Linked DNA regions of Styela clava. The protein of the gene in region 1 purifies or fractionates together with the protein of each later gene. This does not show direct contact. Links are inferred from orthologs where the notes say so. Each region holds a gene or a part of one and is shown in the gene's direction. Other genes may lie near its edges. The genes, in order: ribonuclease 3-like and microprocessor complex subunit DGCR8-like.

The links.
Region 2: the proteins of ribonuclease 3-like (region 1) and microprocessor complex subunit DGCR8-like purify together in Drosophila melanogaster (affinity purification with western blotting; 4 studies listed by BioGRID, with this or other methods). This does not show direct contact. The link is inferred for Styela clava from reciprocal best matches to the Drosophila melanogaster genes drosha and pasha.

What each region holds. Positions count from the first base shown.
Region 1 is NC_135258.1:12,023,071-12,033,119, reverse strand, and holds the start of ribonuclease 3-like, read left to right. Parts: upstream 1-5,855; 5' UTR 5,856-6,045; intron 6,046-6,718; 5' UTR 6,719-6,748; coding exon 6,749-10,049. Other genes in the region: isocitrate dehydrogenase [NAD] subunit gamma, mitochondrial-like, read right to left, coding at 351-445, 812-894, 1,516-1,682, 2,181-2,314, 2,816-2,948, 3,269-3,332, 3,815-3,919, 4,391-4,532 and 1 more.
Region 2 is NC_135250.1:22,755,378-22,765,538, forward strand, and holds the start of microprocessor complex subunit DGCR8-like, read left to right. Parts: upstream 1-6,235; 5' UTR 6,236-6,607; coding exon 6,608-6,788; intron 6,789-7,452; coding exon 7,453-9,122; 3' UTR 9,123-10,161.

The sequences.
Region 1 (10,049 bases):
CAAAAATATGCATATTCAAGTGGGTTTTAAAGTCTTGGAGCCTATGATAGTTAAAAAAAACTATGTCCACTAAGAGGTAACACAGATTTTCATAGGTTTGTGGGATTTGCGTGTATACCTGATGTAATCGCTCGTCTTCCAAAAATGAACAAATAATTCACAATAGCTCCCAAGATGAATACTTGGGAATTAAATGGTTGTCATTTTTTTATTGAAGCTCTCATGAGCTCTTGCTTTAGCAAAAATGCAAAATTCATAGATGTAACAAATAGAACCCACATAAAGTAATGTATAAACTTGATACGTCATACATTTCATGTTAATTTAATAATATATTTATAGCTGCTTACCCAATATACTTCAGCATCAAGGTGCTGGCAAAAAGCATTGCATTTGGATTGGCTATGCCAAGCCCCGCAATTCTGCTTCCAGTGTTTCTTGTTGCCTAAAATAAAGATTTTCTATTATTTTTAGAGTTAATTTTTTGCTATTATCCTTTTGTTGGAAGAAGTCACATTTACAATTGTATTATTTTTCATATTTAAATTTCTGAACCCAATGATGACCCACCCACTTGCCTAACTCTTGGTAATACAACTAACCACCAGTGAATGTCAACATACCGATTCAGAATATTCTCATGATTCGAAGGAGAATGATAATTTGTGTGTAAAAATCAGTGAAAAATGTACTAGTTGTTGAAAGTAAGAATATACTGATAGTTGAGATTACTTTGCCATCTGCAAAATGATATTATTTCTTTGTGACATTGACAGAACAAAAATATTAAATGACCTCCTCAGCTACTTACAGGCTCAAAGACGCGATATTCATCACCAATATTAGAACCAGCCACCATTCCTGGACCTCCAACCAAACCACAACAAATGTTACCTGATAAAAAATATGATAAATCCAATTATATAAACTGTGTCATGACGATAAAAAAAGACTGAAAAATCTATTCTCTTGAATAGGTTTTTTATTTAATTAGTCAAATTAACGCATTTCTTTTGCCAAATGAGAATGGTTGAATATATAAAGAAATAAATCATCACAAAATTTATCACATATATACAACAGTTTCTGAATACCGGTAGTACCTGAATACTATGCAGTGGATAATGCCATATATATGCTTCGATCAAGAGTTCTCAACTGCGAGCAAATTTTGCAAGCAAAAAATTTACACAATTCCCTACCGCATGAATAGGCTACCGGTTTCATTTCAGCGCATCACCAGTTGTGCAGTTGACCAATAAAATTGCAATAAAATTGAGATTGCAATGTCTTCTATTGCATAATATACGTTTTCAAACTAACTATAGGAAGACTGTCCAATCCGGTACCACTTTTGGATACGTTACATACTGCAAACTGAAATAGCATACTCCAGATGTTTTAAAATTAACCAAGGAGTAAAAGAATAGGGTTAGAAGTACTGACTCGGATGATCACTCAGATATCTAAGAATACTGTAATTTCTGTAAATAACGGATGGGAAAATAGTCTCACCAACTATATTCCCATACAAATTAGGCATGACCATAACATCGAATTGCTCAGGTTTTGACACAAGCTGCATTGTCGTGTTGTCAACGATCATATCATTGAATTCAATGTCAGGAAAATCTCTGGCAGTCTCTCGACAACATTGTAGAAATAGTCCATCTGCTAATTTCCTAAAGAAAAAGGAAGATAACACACTCAATGATTATTACTTAAATATTGGTATGAATATTGGTCATGAATGAGTTTTTTTATCATTGACCAGCCATTTATAAATACCTCAAAATAAGTGCAACGTAATGTGGACTTCATAGATCTGCATATGTAGCAGCCATAATGGTTTACATTTTATTAATTTTATGCTAATAAAATGAAATATTCCTTCCGAAGTGTTGTGAATTGTATTACAAGTGTACATGTGATGAGCGTTCTAAAAGTTCAGGAACTAACCTAGCAACATTGGTGGAATCAAAAATTTGTTGCGAATACAGCTAGAACAAGATGTGATCTGGCATCCTACATGCATATGCATCAACTGGGGTTGGTAAGCACGATAGATGTCAATCCCAATGATGCCCATAAAACTATTTCATGATATCTGAGCTGTTGTGCCAGCATGCCTATAACATATATCCAGTGGTTCTGTAGGCAGAAGATAATGAAATGCTTACATTATGTTAGCTTTATGAACAGCGGTAATCTTCTTTCTTTTATTTCTCCTCGCATATTCAAATGCAAACTTAGCAATTCGATATGATTTTTCTGCTGTGATGATTTTCAAGCTTTCTACAACACCTGGCATACTCTGAAATACAATATAAAGCATGTTTGAAATTTATACAGGATGATTCAGGAAAGAAATCAAAGATCAAAGTCAACGCTAAATATAATGTAATGAAAACAGAACATCATATCAGTCCTTCCAAAACAGATATTACCATACAAGACTAGTAAGACTGTTCATAACAATACCAAGATGTATTTGATAAGACAAAATGAGAGAATAAAACTTTGTTTTAGTCAAAGATACCGTATTTGCAATCAACTGATGGGTACAATATGCCCCATTAGCAGATCTTATTGAACTTGACGATATTTCAAGCATTTTTGAAGGGAGAAAAGTCTTAACAAGTACATTCATTGTAATGATATATTAAATACGGAACACTACTGGCAATGGGCTCACAACCATATTTTAGATGAAAAAGAGAGTTATGAATAGATTTTATACACCTAAATCAAACTCAACCATGTATCTGACTCTAAATGAAACTATAGTTTCCTTTTAATAACTCAATGTCCCTACCTCATGCTCTAAACTTGAATATTCTCCCTCTGTGTTTTCTCGAATAATACGAATATCAACGTTGTGATTTCTTCGACAAACGTCAGGAACAGATTTCACCTTCAGCACATTAGCAAACAAGTCCAGTTTTGTCCTATAAAAGAATTACCAGCAGTAAGTGTTTGACCCAGAACAAACATACCATATTGGGTTCCTACATTCAATCAGGATATATCCCTAATATATTGTAGTATATGTGTTTGATTAAATACATAGTATTTCAGTAGAGTGCAGATGGGGCAAGACCAATGACAATCAAGTTGAAGAATTTTTCCCTTCTGCATTTTAGATTTAATATCGCCAAGGTGCTCCCCTAATTATTCGACCCAATTCATGTCTTGCTCGGGAAATTGTTTAAAGAAACTGAGTTTGAAATTTGCAGCTATAACCATTAAACAAATCAAAGTGAACAACCTTATGACCATGTTTGCTGATTTCTCATCAATATCCATTTTGTCAAATTTGGTATCAATGTTTCCTGTAAGTATAAGACATTTATTCAAAATTTAGCATAAAGATATGATTATTGTTGGTTTAATAAGGGAAGCTGTCAGCCAGTGGAATATGAAACTACAACAGTATATAGCCTAGCTTTTTTGATAAAAGTTTTTTTAATAACTCCACTTTGTGAAATCACCCAAATATTTCCCAGACAGTGAAGATTTCAATTTTTTCAAGTCTTGTGTCAACTGATTTATATTGATAAGTTTGTCCCTAGAGTATATATATATATATGTGGCTCTCGAGTCTATGTGACAGCGGAGTAAGTAAAATCTTTTGTTTCAATTGACGGTTCGATACCTTGCTAAAAGCAAGCTTGGCTGAAAAAAATTTCTCCAAATGATAATGTGACCGATGAGAGATCATAGATTTTAATTAACATTTCCACCATATTCGTAACAATGATTCACAAGTAAATTAGTGATAGTGCTGACATAAATTTTGTAAAGCTGTACGTGCCTTTGATGGCAACTTCATTGCGCTTAATCGCAATAATTGCCTCCTCAGTATTTCTTTCCAAACCTTCTGACGAGATGTCAACTTTCTCAAAATCCACTGGAACACCTGGATTGAAACAATAACAGTACAAATAGATTAATATTATATACAACCATACATTTCTATCATTTTTGAATATCATTAACCAATCTTAAATGATAGAAACAATATCCAGATATCCAAAATGAAACATTTGATTCAAAATAGTTATATTGAATATTTTAAATTTGGTGTAGGAATAATTTAGGTATTTATATTAGAATGGAAAAATTATCATATTGAGCAATTGAAGTATCACATTATGACATTGTCGCAAAAAAATCTTCATTCAATTCTGAAAACTATAATAAATTGAGAACCAATCAATCATTATTTATTCAAGTTTTCCTGTATTTAAAATTTAATCTCATTCAATAGACTTTACCCTCTATGTTTGTTTTGTTGAATAAAAAGATGCAGACCTGGTTTATCACTGTTTTTGCACGTTTTTTGAGTCAGACACCCCAAAGACACACTAAAACAACCATCAACCCTTACCAGCAGTTGTAAATACTCTTTCAACAGACTTCATGATTTCAGGGCCAATTCCATCTCCAGGAATCATTGTTATAGTATGCCGCCCACCATATTGTGAAAAGTTTCTTAACAAAGAACATGATGGTCTGCAACATTGAAGTGCCTGAAACACAAATGAATCTTTTATACATATCAAGTCAGCAAAGCTGACAGTTATTAAGATCAACTGTATATATATAATCTATCATCTTTATGATAGAATCTAACCCCTTTACGATTCTAACTATTGAGTAATACATTTTTGCATAAAATCTGCCATTCCTTCATGTGAAACTGCACATGTGGTAGGAAGAACTAGGATAGGATAGGATTTACATATTTATCCCGGGGGAGAGGAAAGCCGATAAGACGGCTTATCCATATGGCAAACCACGGCCTCTCGTCCGGTTACCATTCCAAGTCGGGTATGGGATTAGTTATATTGTTTGTTTTCGGAAGCATGGACTTGGTGGTGGAGGAAGCCGTAACCGACCAGCGGTTACGTGAACCACCCAACGACGGCGAGGAGTCCAGCAATCGGGTCTCATGTAGTTTCTTACCTAACATACTTCTAGTGGGTGTAACATGACAATTTTTTTACATATCAATCCTAACCCCCACCTGACCACACCATCCAAAAATTACGTCACTACGACGTCACAGTGACGTAATAGAGCCCTTCAAACTATGCGAACAGTCATCCAAGACGCGCAGACGAGAACCCGAAATCGAACAGCTATTTCTCTCGTTTTCTCGTCGCAACGATCCCGATAGGAGAGAGGTCGTTGACGTCAGTCAGTTCTTTATCGTCGGCGCCGATGCTATTTCGGGCGATCGTACGAGTATTTGGCAAGCTCTATGACGTGATTGTGACGTCGTAGTGACGTAATTTTTGGATGGCGTAGTCAGGTGAGGGTTAGGATTGGCATGTCAAAAAATTGTTATGCTACGCCTACTAGAAGTACGTTAGGTACGAAACTACACGAGACCCCAGCAATCCTCTCGCACATAACCATCCCTGCATGGGATTCGAACCTGCGAACCCACGCAGAGTAATTAGAGGTGCGGTGGCGAGCGTATTCCTAACGCTTAGCCCATTGAGCCACACCGTCGCGCCAAACTATTGTTTTTTGCAAAAATAAAATCTAACGTGCTAAGAGTTATTAGTCTACAACAGTACAGAGGATGAGTTATTGCATTAGATACTACAATTTATTTGACATACCTTGTTTAAACTTTTCTTCCCCGCCATACCCAAAAATGAACTTGAAACAATCATCTTCGATGCCAGAAAACAGAAACAAACCCAGTCAGCAAACACAGAGTATTGAAAGAAACCTGGCGCGAGTACAAGACGATTTAATAAGACAATAGGAAGAAATAAGATGTTCAACTTTAACCCGGTATTTATTCAAGGACTAAGAAAAAAATAAAACTAAAATCTTTTTTACTTTCTTTCCTTGGGCGGCGTAAGCATAATTACAGGGCTTAAGTTAACTCATAATTGGTCGCAGTTACATGCGGTCAGCGGCGACGTCTGAACGTCGGTTTTAGATTCAATTTGTTGTTGCAATGTCGTGAAAAGAAGACTGGGCGGCATAGTTCAGTAGTTAGAACGAAGATTCATAACACAAAAGGTATGTAACTCGTATTTGTCTAGTCGTTATACAGTTATATACCCATGCCCTTAGTCTTAATAAATCTCTGGGAAAGCAGTTTGATACCTAAAAAATCTGAGAATGGTATTTCGTTGTCGTTTGCATGTGCTGATGTGGCTTGAAAGCAGAATCGATATTTTTACCTGTGAGTGATAGCCTGATACTTTTTAAAAAAATATATAAATGTGTCAATTTGTGCTCATGTCGGTCTGACAAAGTCTGAAAGTAAACGCCACAAACCGCTTGAATAACACCAAACAAAAATGTGATATGAAATTTCTATATTCTTCGAGAAAATAGGTGCATAATGAAATTCTTGACAGACGCGCTTAGTTCTGTAGTTAAAATCATTTCTACTCAATCTTCAACAAAGCAGGTAGGTCTATGTCCCATACTAAAATACATATTATAGCATTCTGCATTAAACAGACTTTTTTTTAAATAATGAAAACATGGGTGGTATTTTTACATCACATTTTGTTTGGCGTTATTTCAGCAGTTACGGCAGGGCGTTTATTTTGCGAGACCTCTCATGTCTATTACTTGAAATAAAGCGAGATACACTGCTGAGATACGATGTCAGAGTTCCAACAATCGAAGCAACTAGTACATCTAGAAATCTTGAGCATCCTTCTTATTTATGTTACTACAGGTTCTTCTTTATAAAACTGTTAACTTCAAGATGTATCCGAGGCATTCATTCCCACATGATGGCCCTCCAAGGCCACCACCCTCACATTGGGATTCAAGACCTATGCATTCGAATTACCCACACAATATGGGACCAGCATATCCTTCTCAGCACCCATATGCTCCTCCACCCCCAGAGTACATGCCACAATTCCAGCAAAATGCACCTCCACATGTCGAACATCGCTACCCTTACCCACCACATGGTCCCCATGCCGGCCATCCAAGAATGACTTACCCCAGACCACAAGATCCTCATGCGAATTTTGGAAGACCACCCTTCTATGAGCCACAGATAAGGCCTCCTGGCCATTCTAGAGACAATATGCATGGAGATTTGCTTCATCGTCATCATGATATGAGACATACAAATGAGAGGAGAGAACGAAGACATAGAGATGGTTCTCATGGAGATCGCTACCATGAAAGAGAAGTCAGGGGATCACCCCATCACAGGAGTTATTCTTCAAGAAGTGATTCTGGGCGAGATTCCCCAAATCCAAGGCGTGACGACAGAGATGAAAAACCAAGGCAAGAAAATAAAACATTGCAACCTGGTTTCATTTGGCGACATTCTAAGAATGAAAAAGAAGATCAGGAATACAATGAATCAGAATACAGTGCAGAAAAGATAGAAGAAAAGTTAAAATCACTGCAACCGAGTTATGTCCAGTGCACCCAGCATGCCCGCTATTATGGTAGAACAACAGAAAACGATTCAACTGTGAAAGCACTACCATTGTTAACAGAGCTTTATGATAAATTTGAGTCTGAGCTTTCTACTAGACATGCAAAACTATGGAAGCCAAACGAGATAATGGAGGATCCCGAAGAAATAGGCAAAACATTAGAAGAACAAGATGAAAAAGATAAAAGTTTTACTTTGTCTCAAAGACTCGAAAACTGTGACTTTAGTCAGGAATCTTTACCAAGACAGAAAAGAGTTCGAGCAGCTGCTATTGTTAGAAGGTTGGAAGATTCAGCAAGAAATCAAGAAAAACCTCTTTTAAAATACATTGAAGAGGACAACCCTAAAGTTCCAACTTTTGCTTTAGCAAAACTCAAAAGAAGGCTTGAAAGATTAACTGATAATATGAAAGAGTCTGATACTACATATGATAGCGACGGAAGCGATCCAGAGGGAGAATTTGACAACGAAGATTACTTGCAACGGGCTGGGGAACTGATCAGTTCTATTCGTAAACTCAAGCATCATGAGAAGCGTCTTCATAACGAATTATGGTATAATGACCCTGGTCAAGCTAATGATGGCCCACTCTGTCGATGCGGAGAAACTGCCCGCAAGAAAGGTATCAGACATAAAATCTACCCTGGTGAAAAACCACCCACCGGCTGGAAAAAGAATTTTAATAACATTGGTAAAATGTACAACTATCTTGTTACAATCAGTCCTCCTGTAAATTATGAGTCATCTGATCCTACAACTATTCAATATGATGGCAGAGATTATGTCTTCGAAGGTTTTTCCATTCTATCTGATGAACCACTGAGCAAACTACCATATTGTGATCTGATTCGATTTCACATTCGGTATACAATATACTTGATAGAAGAGCCAGTTCCTGAAAACTTCTGTATAAGAGGTCTTCAACTTTTTTCAGATTACTTCTTCAGAGATATTTTGGAATTATATGATTGGGTTGATATCCCAAAGTCATGCCCTGAAGAGACGAACACAGAGGTTCATAGAAAGTTCCATTTCTTTCCTCGCTTCGTGAGACCTCTTCCAGATAATGGTAAAGAAATTTTATCATTATGTGAAGTTCTTAGATATTTACTCTCCCATAATAAACCTTTGATAAGTGCGAATGATTTGACACATCTTATGAATTGTGACCACAGGGAATGGTTGAACTACACAGATAAAATCAGAGGCATGATCGTTACATTCCCTGGTTCAAAGCCAAGCTCACTAAGAGTAGATCAAGTGGATCGTTATGACAGAAAATCCGTAGAGAATCCGGATGTAAAAAACGAAGATCAAGATGATGAATATCCATTGATCATCCATTTCGGAATTCGACCTGCAAATCTAAGTTATGCAGGAGATCCACAATATCAAAGAGTGTGGAGATCATATTTGAAACTTCGTCATTTAATGGCGAATTCTCCGAAAGTAAAACAGTCTGACAAATTTAAACTAAAACGAAGGGAAGAAGCATTACAAGAAATGCGACGTGCAAAGGTGATGCAAAGAGAAGTTACAGTTGAAGTAAGCAGTAGGGGTTTCATGAAAACTGGAATATTTTCTGACATTTGTCAACATGCTCTTCTACTGCCTGTGTTGACGCATCATGTCCGATATCAACTGTGCTTGGCAACTTTGGAGAAACAGATCGGATATGAATTTAAAGATAGAAAATGGCTTAGTCATTCTATGAATCATCCCAGTTGTCAGATGAATTTTGGTTCTAATCCTGATCATGTTAGGAATGCTCTTTCAAATTGTGGCTTACGGCAACCCAAATATGGAGATAGCTCTATTCATTATAAATACACACGGAAGCGGGGTATCACGACTCTCATTAGAATTATGGCAAGGCTTGGACAAAAACGACCCGTACTTTCACCTATTGAGCATAACGAAAGATTGGAGTTTCTTGGTGATGCAGTCGTGGGTTATTTAACAAGTATACATTTGTTCTTTATGTTTCCGGAGCTTTCTGAAGGTGCACTTACGACTTTTAGAACTGTGATTGTCAACAACCAGCACCTGGCCCAACTTGCAGAAAGAATGCATTTGGATGAATTTATGCTGTACGCACATGGACCAGACTTATGCCGAAATGCAGATTTACGTCATGCCATGGCGAATTGTTTTGAAGCTCTTATGGGTGCAATATATATGGAAGCGGGTTTGGAAAAAGCACAAGAGCTATTTGCAAAGTTTTTATGGGATACTGATCAACTCCAAAAAATTTGGTTGGATATCCCATTACACCCTCTTCAAGAAGAGGAACCAGAAACAGATAGACAGTATATTGAAAGCGTGCCGATCTTGCAAAAACTGACCAAACTAGAAGATGATTTAGGATTAAAATTCACACACATCAGAATTCTAGCAAAAGCATTTACATGGCGTAATGTGCACGAGAACGTTCTTACACATGGTCACAATCAAAGATTAGAATTCCTCGGTGATTCAATTTGCAATCTTGTCACATCTACATATCTATTTGAGCTGTATCCAACCCATCATGAAGGACATTTAACTCTACTTCGTGCAACTATGGTGAATGGAAGGACACAGTCCATGGTTGCTACTGAGCTTG
Region 2 (10,161 bases), on another chromosome or scaffold:
ATGGGATGCGTTTTGATTGACACTTGATTACCTCATTGATGTTTGGGAAAAACTCATTGAAATTTTTTGTCAAAGTAGTGTCTACTAAATATAAAATTTACGAATTGCTAATGCGATGCATATACTTCTAGTTCACAAAGATTGTATAATATCGAAGAGTAATATCGTATTATTGTATTTTTTCTACACGTAAATAATCACAGGCTATTTTTATTCTAATTAGGTTCATCAAAAAATTAGGATAATACCCCCTGCAATTAGAGTTTTCTCCAGTCTATTCAAAAATATTTTACTGTGTCTTGCAACCAACCTCCTTAATACTTTATGGCTTATGCAAATCAGAACCACGGCCAAAACAAGCGGATATCCGAAATAGTCAATGATCAATTAGTGTCGAAGTCTTTTGCTATACCTCGCCTTACGCGTTATCTAATATACAAGCACGTACCACACGTCGAAAGCCGCCTTTTTGTATGGCCTTTGCTTGATTAGTTATACGTTGTTAATTCGCTCTGATTAGGTGTCACAACAATCGGTATGAAAGCGCGACAATTGGTCAGATCTCGTTTTGAAATTGATATTTAGCGTCAAAAATCATGGCGACAATGTCTCAAACGCTACACCGGCGTGATTTATCAATTCTGTCAGAAATGAAGCCAAAGCCTTTACATAATTGTATATTATCAATCATATATTGAAACGGCACAATATGACTTTCCCGAGTACTTAACGGTCAAATACTCACAAATTTGCAAAAATAAAAAATAAATGAAAACTGGAAAAAATTGTTACAAATGTCAGAAATTTGAAAATAAAAATATTTTATATATACATGCCAGGCCAAGATTAAATTATTCGCATTCAGCCATGGTAATGATTCGATCTCTTGTGACAACTAGATGAATTCCACCCGTGCTGTTGTTCCAGTGTTGTGTCTAACTTTGGTATACATATGGTTTTTTGTGTTCTATTCTGGACCAAACTGTTAAAAGAAAGCGCAAAGATACCAACTGTTTTGAGCGTTCTAACCGTGTAAAAAATACCAAAATGGATATGGATAATTATTGAATATGTACCACCATATAGGCACACCGTTTCCGCGCCAAATATGTTTTTTTATCAACTGATAACAGACGTAATAATAAAAACATTTTGATTATTACCAAACAAATATGAAATTGTAGGAGGAAATTTGATTAAAAAATTGTTATTTTAAGTATGCGCCATACGTGATCTGCGCCTAATCTTAGCGGGATATTTAAGGCCCATACCAGGGTCTGTAAAAAGCTTGCGAACTGTAAGTCAGTATCGATTGTCCAATGACTAGCCAATCGAAGCCCAAAACCCAATGACTAGCAGTTATGCGTTATGCTCACCAAAAGCGTTATAAATGCCAGGGATGGAAATTCGTCCAGTGGGAAAATTTTCTTTCCAAAATTCTGAAATATTTTGTCGTTCACTATTTAGTAATAATCATTCAGCAAACCTTAGATCACTTGAGGGATGCCAAATTTTTCAATTTTGTCATCTTTTGATATATAAACTCAAATTAACCATATTTAGAAAACTGTTAATTATTTCGGCACTGTCAAGATGGTAACGTGTATAGTGTGGGCGCGTAGGAACACTTCGTGATGTCACTTCCGCCCGCTTGGCTAACGCGCGTGTTATACTGAACGCTCAGTCTCATAATATAATACGTTTCGCAACTCAAGTTTTTATCTTCGGCCATTGGTACTCTATCATACCAATTGATATTTATAACCTTTTATGTGAGGCCACATATGATTCTGTAAAAACCTATCAGCTCCATTAACATATTGAATCATACCGACTTCCTGCCTCCGTCGCCCGCACTATGTTATGAATGGTTGGTTGCTATATTACCACGTATTTAATTTGAGTTTAATGGCCAATATACTAACTAATTTCCTTATTTGCCATTGTATCAGGCATATCGTTCGTAAGGCAATGATGAACCTTCATAGATAGAATTACAGTTTAATTCGATTCGAAGTACAGTTACAGTCAAGAAGGGTTACTTAAAATTTGAATACAATGATTATTACACATTCCATTTTTCTATTTATTGTTGCATAAAACCAACGTCATTATGTGCAATATTAAAATGATAAACACTGTCAAAAATATGTAACATTTACTAATTTTTCACGGTGATTTAGTCCAAAGAGATTGAACTTGAAGACATGCCCATTTTTCGAACATCGATTCAAACATGGCCAAGCACCAAAAGCAGGGTGCTATTTTTGGCCAATGAAAATGTCGTCGGTGAAATTTTGGCTAACCTGAAGATGACAGTTCTATTGCTTATTATGACGTAACCAAGGTCCAACAATTATTATTCCAATTTCGTTCTTTATATTTTAATCATAGTTATCGTGTATTATTATTTTTTGCTTTGATTGGCACATGCTTCTTTACGCTATTTGATATCTCTATCATTATTATTATTACGATTGAAAACTGTTACAACTTAAAAGTTACTATCAAATGACAGAAATGTGGATGTTTTTTTATTACTCTGAGGTCTTCGATGAATAAATTCAGGATTTCTTGTGACAGGCCTCTATGTTCCACCACCAGTTATTTGATAATAATTTTTTGGTTGAATATAATTCTTATTATTTGATTTTTCTTAATTGTGGCTGTTTTCTCCTTTCTCTCTTTGCGCTGTATGCGAGCAATATAAAGTACTTCTCACTGAATTTATATTAGTCATTTTGTTAACAGGGTTCTTGGGTGGAAATGTGATTTCAAGAAAATAACACCGTGGTATTTATGTAGCAACAAAGTACTTGGAAGTTGCAATATCGGAGTCATGCCTTGGCTTACACCATAGATTCGAAATCTACGAAGTTTTTATTGGCATCGGTTAGTCCCCCGCGAAAAATCTATGACGAGAGAAATACTGGTGACATCAACTCTCAAATTGTCAAAGAAAGTTAGAGATAATTAGTATATATGTTGTGTATTTAGTCTTATTATTTTCACCGATGATTTGGATTATTTATCACTTTGGGGTGTGGTTCCCAGGCTGTGCGTAGCGAAATATCAATCTTTAAAAAATTATCATTTACCCGCCTCGAAAAGTTTACATGAAATGATCAAATCCGTTGAAAACGTACGACTGGAAATCTGACCGCGTTATGATAGTTTATGTGCGCATACAACATTAAGTATCGCATTTATTGAATATATATATTATTAGGCTTTTCACTGTCGTAGGGATTATTATGACAAAATTATGCGCTTCAGAAGTGTGTGTACCAATGTGGAGGTAACTAATTTTGTTCGCCTACTTTACATCAAGTTGTGTAAATGTAAAGGGACTGAAACCTATGGGCAGTGGGTATGTTCACTTGGCTAACACAGACAGTCCCCGAACTCGTCATGTAACTAAAATAAGGAAAATCGGAAATAAATTGTGGCCTAACCCTAACTTGGTACACACACAACGGGAGTACCTATTATTAAGCTTTTCACCGTCGTAATTCAGTATTATAAAAAATTCGAATAACCAATGGAATAATTTTGTATGTCAAGTCGCCTAGCCTTGTGCGACAAAGTCCCCGGGTGCACCTTCAAGTACTACACTAGATAAAGTTATAGGGTATCCTCAGGGAACACCTTTCTTCGAATTCGTTACATAAGATGCACTAACTCTAAAAGGTCAGTTTGGTAAGAAATGGTTGTTTATTTCTTGGTTTCCTCACAGGCAATATATGATTCCCAACAGATTTAAAAACCTACACAATGCTGAATGCAGCATTTACTGACAGTACTTTCCCCGACAAAGATGAGTCAAATCATAGTCAGAAAGTTCTCCCTATCAAACATGGTCAAGTTACAATCGTACTTGGGCCAGTAAGCAAAATTTATTTACCATACTAAACTGTGTGAAAAAATTATTTCCCTACTGGACAGTTATTAATATAAAGGTACACACTGAATTCCCTTCCTTGCTTACGATTTTTATTGTGGCCCAGTACGATGTGCTTTTCATTTGATGATTTCCACATGTCTGCTATGTGCTTTAATCAGTAAATCATTTTACATACCGGGAATTTTCACTATTACGGTAGTAACTCAAAACTTTTAAGGTGTTTACTACAAATTGGCTGTTGTTGACGTCTTAATGGGCCAATAGAAAATAACGCATTCGAATCCTCTTACACTCATTGTCTAGTTTGGATAGGGAGCAAACATGTAGTCACTTGCACAAACAACTCAATGAACCTACAATGTTACTCGTGTTAGCGAAATGATTGTTGACTGTTGGTCCATTTCGTTTCCATCAACTTATTTGTTTTCATACTTTCTGAATAATCACTGACGAATTCCACTGTGTAGTGAAACGCATTGATTTGAACGCACCGAAAGCAGCAACCTCATGAACCCATATAAATAAATTGCCGGCGTCAAACTTATTTAACTATGATTTGTGGTAAGTGATGAATACAACTGAAGTTGATCATTTTCCCAGGAGACATAGAAACGTCAATCTTTTAATCATAGTGAACTCAGCAGTAACTGCCTCCAAGTTCAATTGTGTGATTTCAAAAAAATATCTTTATAGTGCTGGTATAGTTATTTATCATATTTAAATATTCAGTAGTCGAAGATTGAAAAGTTTTCTGAAATTCCTCTATATTCAATTGCTTTCAAAAGTGATCTTACACACTTGGCTGAAAAATCGTCACCACGTCGGTTTTCCGCCGGTTGATTTTGGCCAGAAAGCCAGTCTGCTTCAAAGCTTACTATCGCCATCTCGAGTCAGCATTATTTGTTGCATCCGTAAATATTCGTGTACGAACTTCATCTTGAATGATGGCCTACCGTACATTCACCATGTACACGCCAGTAGGGTTGGATTTCGTCTCTCTATCATTATTGTTATCATTTTTTCGTGGTATAAACTTTAACGTTAAATCTAGCTAATCGTACGGCATATATTCCATCATTTTGTTTGTTAGGATAATATTTACATATTTATCCCGGTTCCTTATTTCCAAGCCGCACCACCCGTTCCAGGCACTACCTCAGAGAACACTTCAGTATCAAACTCAGTAATTATTAGGCTACTATGATGATTGAAATGGCTAATTTTGAGATCTCGTGTGAAATAATCTTGTTTGACCTTTTTGATGAATTAATCCGACTCACTAGATTGGCATATCCCCCTGATGAAAGCCAGACAAATCCAGAGATATGCAATTTTTTCTGAATCTTGAATTATTTAGATGGATACAATCAGTTAACACTAGAGTTAGGCACGTTTCCATACGACCATATCTCATTCTCATCGTATAAATACACATGTCTTGTTGAATATTTGTCAACTTTATATTGGTACCATTTCAATGTGTTCATATCTCTGTCTACCAATTTTGGCCCAGCTTGCACGATCCAACACCAAACAGCTATACGCGTCATTGTAGTCACTTTTCGGATATTATGCTTCTCAATCTGATCACCAAAGACAACTTTGTCACAATCACCATAACGGCTATTATCATTTCCAAATATCCTCACGAGGGGACTGCAATATAATTGCGTTGGGATTCAGATTGATCAATTTTACTTAGTGGGGGTACTACACACACGCTGTATAAAATGAAGGCTATCAACTTAAATACGGATAATTTCGTCCAATCAAAGTGAAAATATTTGGATGAAATTGGAAACGATTTATTCTCCGCTCTCCAGTCTGTTTGTACATGTGTAGTACCATATTTACGGTAGTACACGTTTCTCAGGCCAGCATTCCGTTATAGTTTGCTTTTGTACGTATATATTTTAAACACTCCTCGCAGGCTTCATCGGGTTTAGCATCGAGAGGCCATATGTTTAGGCGCTTTTATCGGCTCCCCCCCCCTCTCCCGGGATAAATATGTAAATTTTATTATATAGTTATTACAGGAGAAAAGAAGAGCATAATAATATGCCGATGTAAAGCCAGCTCTCCAAACCCCATATATCGAACGTAGGTGGGGACGGGCATTTCATTTCCTCGCTTTTTCATGGTTCATCTGTAGGTAGGTATAAGATTGGCGAGTGATGACGAAACATGCTTTCGGATGGCTGCGACCTGGTTTATAGGATATTGCATTGGTTAGGTTACATATGCGTGACTTAGTGGATTGGCACGCATTACAATTGATAACGCGATGAAATATGCTTTCGGAAATTGTATCGTACACTCAGAGTCAGTATGTGTGAATGTGAGTCATCTAACTCTTATCAACGGGCTAGTGCTATTTTCATTCCAACTTCGACTGACTAACTTGCGGTGCAATATTCTGATATTATAATAATAGTGTTACTGTGATAGAATAATGCTGTAATAGCAGAATAACCATGGCAGTTTTAAACTTGTCTGCCTGTCCCTTAGTCTGTTAGTTGTCGCTTTTTGGTGTAATTATTACGGTACGGTATACCATGCTATTGGATAAAGCAACATGCTGACGATGCAGTTCATTATGCCTTTCCAAGTGGCATAATTGCACTGCATCTGAAAACATGCTGCTGTCAGTCTTCAATATTTTTATATAAAATTTAACCCCAGTTCTTGAGAATTTTAAGTGAAATGTCTGATGTAATACAAAATGACAATGGACCCGAGGTGAAAAATGGGTCAGGTTTGGAAGAAGAAGTTGAAATTAAAAAAGAATCCGTGCATGATGACGTTGAAATGATGGATGATTCTGATCATGATGACGAGGAATATGAAGATGAAGAACTTCATGAAACTGAGAATAACGTAGCAGGTCAATATTTGAATAATTTAAAAATTATTTAGTGATTTTATATATGATTATAACAATATCTTTTGCTTTTTTATAAAATTGAAGTTTCAGGGTTTTGTGCAATATTATAATGAAAATTAAAATATCAAATAATTTCTGAATTGTGTTGTATTCAACTATAATAATATACTTCCATGTTATGTCGTTTGGCATCATCTACTGCTGTACCAAAATGAACCCCTCTCATCAATCGCAGTTGAACTATTCGATCAATTTATTGACCTATGGTAAATTGTACTACAGTACTATGTTTCTCGAGCACATGAAAACAACTAGAATCTAAATTTATGAAATTCATATTGTTTTTCAACAATGGTACCGGTAATCGAATATTATTACTTCATTTTTAATTACATTTAAACTTCAAATTTATATTAGATCTGTTTATTGAAAAGTTGTTCAGTGCCACTCACAGAGTTAGGATTTAATTGTCTGTTTGTATTGGGGCTTCATGGGCTCCTAAATAGGTTGTTCTATAAAAATTATTTTATGATAATCGTCTGATATATCTCGGTTTTTTCATGATTATTGTGAATCTGCTCAAATGCAATTTAATTTTTGATAAACTACTGAATATGGTTGTCCTGGTAATGTTTTTTGATCTGATTTTTGTATTCGGTTACAGATGGACAATTGCCAAGTAGCAACCTAAACAATAGTGAAGATGCCAACGGAGAAAATCAACCTGAAGGATTGCTGGGTTACAAATACAAAACTGTGCTCAAACATGTTTCCCCGAAGGCATCAACAGAGCCGTTACCCGAGGGATGGGTAGTTCTAACTCATACAACTGGTATCCCGTTATATTTACACAAGAAGACTAAAGTTGTTACATTATCGAGACCGTTCACTTTGCTGCATGGTTTTGTAGGGAAACATAAAATAAGACTTCAAAGTATACCGTGTCTATATTATAAAAAAAATTTAGAAAAATTAAACGAATTGAAAAGTAATGTAGAATCACAGATTCAGAATTCGAACGAAGACACTGAGCAGGAAGATTTGGTAAAAGGAAAGCAGGAGCAGAATGCTAACGGAGATACAGCTTCAGATGACAAAAGTCAACTTGATGGTGTCTCTCAACCTAAAGTTATTCTTCACGATCAAAGCGACATGTGCATTGAAGACAAAGAATTAAAAGAATATTTAGAAAAACGTTTTGTATTTGAAACATTAAAAATACCACGATTTAAAAAGTGGTCACAACGTCGAGACTTTACACGAAATATGCGAAGAAAAAAATTGGAAGAAAATGATGAAAATGATTCTTCAAAAGATGTAGATGCTGATACCGGAAAACCCGGGTCCGGAAAACTTATCACGTTAACAGTTGAGCAAGAGGTAGGCCCTGATGGTACAACCAGAAATCGAAAATTCGTTTTAAATACTAACGGAAAACCAATGGTTTGCATTCTTCATGAATATGCACAAAGAGTTTTGAAAGTGCAGCCCAATTATATTTTCAACACTCGGGAAGATTCTGCCGAACCATTTGAAACAGTGATCAAGCTGAATGGAAAAGTATATGGAACAGCAGTTGCGATTAATAAAAAGACAGCCAAAAATAAAGCCGCTCTTGCTACTCTAGAAATGCTTATACCAGGATTTAAAGGACAAGTAGAAGGCGCTGCTGAAACTCCAGATATGGCATATTTCAATGACGTTTTGATTACCGATTCCAGAGTCTACGAGTTATGTATACATACTGGACAGTTACTTCCATACCAAATGCTTACTGAGTGCTTGAAACGAAACCAAGGCGTCACAGACACAACAGTAAGTTACGACGTACAGCAGGGAAAAAGAAGATCGTTAAATTATACTATGAAATGCGGAATACACGTTGTCAGCGGAGTCGCTAAAAACAAGAAAATTGGAAAACAAATGGCTGCTCAACAAATCTTACAATTACTACACCCTGAAATAAAAACATGGATGGAATTGATTACCTTATACGGAGCTTCACTCGCCCAAGAACGAGCTCGAAGAAAACGAGAGGAACAGGAGATTTTTGATCTCAAACAAAGACGAGGAAATATAGTCGAAGAGAAGCAGGAAGAACCAAGTACGAGTAAACAACAACAGAAAAGCGAAGATTCTCTCGAACCTAACCCAGAATTGCTCGCTAAATTACAAGAAATGATGTTTAAATTAGAATCGGATAGAGGGAAGAGGAAAGCTGATAATGATAATGCATTGACAGCGAAAAAAGCAAAATTGACGCCAATGGAAGCAGCAGTTGCAGCGGGGAAAGGAATGCTTAATATACCAATAGAAATGGATTTGAGTAAATAATTTTGAGTAAAAACAATCATATAACTTTCAAAATGTTGCATTTATGGCTATTTACTTAGTAAATAGATTCATATTAGTTAAACAGAATATTGTACTATGTAGCCTACTTCTTATGCTCAGAAATTTTGTGATGGGGGTTTTAGTGAAGTATTGGGTGCTTATTTCATAACTCGATCTCCTAGTTTCAACAGTATATTGTAATGAATTCATTTTAAACTCTGTCGAAGTAGAGTATTTTAGCAATTATAGGTCCTCATGTATCGAACATGTTTCACCGAACCTATGAATCTGATTTTACAATGGTGTAGGCTAAATTTTTCACCGTCAAGAAAAAAAGGATTTTTATGAAAATATTATATAAAACGCTCTTTTCAGTATGCATGGCATAAATTATTGACTGACAGCTCCATAACTCCTTGCTGTTTTCTTGGAATATATGCGAACGTTTCAGATTTGTTGATTTTTTTACTTAATCGTTCCATATTTTTAGGTATTGCAAACTTATCATTGATAATGGCTTTTTTCGAATGAGGATCCGTAATCATGTCTTTTTATTTCTATGTATGTGAATAATGTGATTATTTGTTTTCTATTCAAACCGACTTGAAATAGAGATGTCTGTATTTGAAAATTTATTTTCTCAAATTTCTGCCTTGCAATATTTTCAACGATTTTGAAATCAAATCAAATTTTACTCAGAAAATAGTGCAAATTTTTCAAGGAAATAATAATAATTTCGAATAAAAGATTTTTTCAAATACTGTGTAAATCTATATAGAAAGAATGATTTGCTCGTATTCAAGGAAATTTCACTGAAAATAAAGAAATTTAATGATCTAAATTTCCAATAAATGCCTTCTTCACACAAGACTAATTTCAAATTTTAATTGCACTGTTCATTTTTAAACCCGAGTACAATACAGTAAGAATATCCTGAGTTACTGAGGTAATTGGTTTTTCATGAAGATTGCCAAATTAAGAATGCTATTTATAAATTTTTCTTCAAAATGAAATAAGATGGGCTAATTACATTACATAC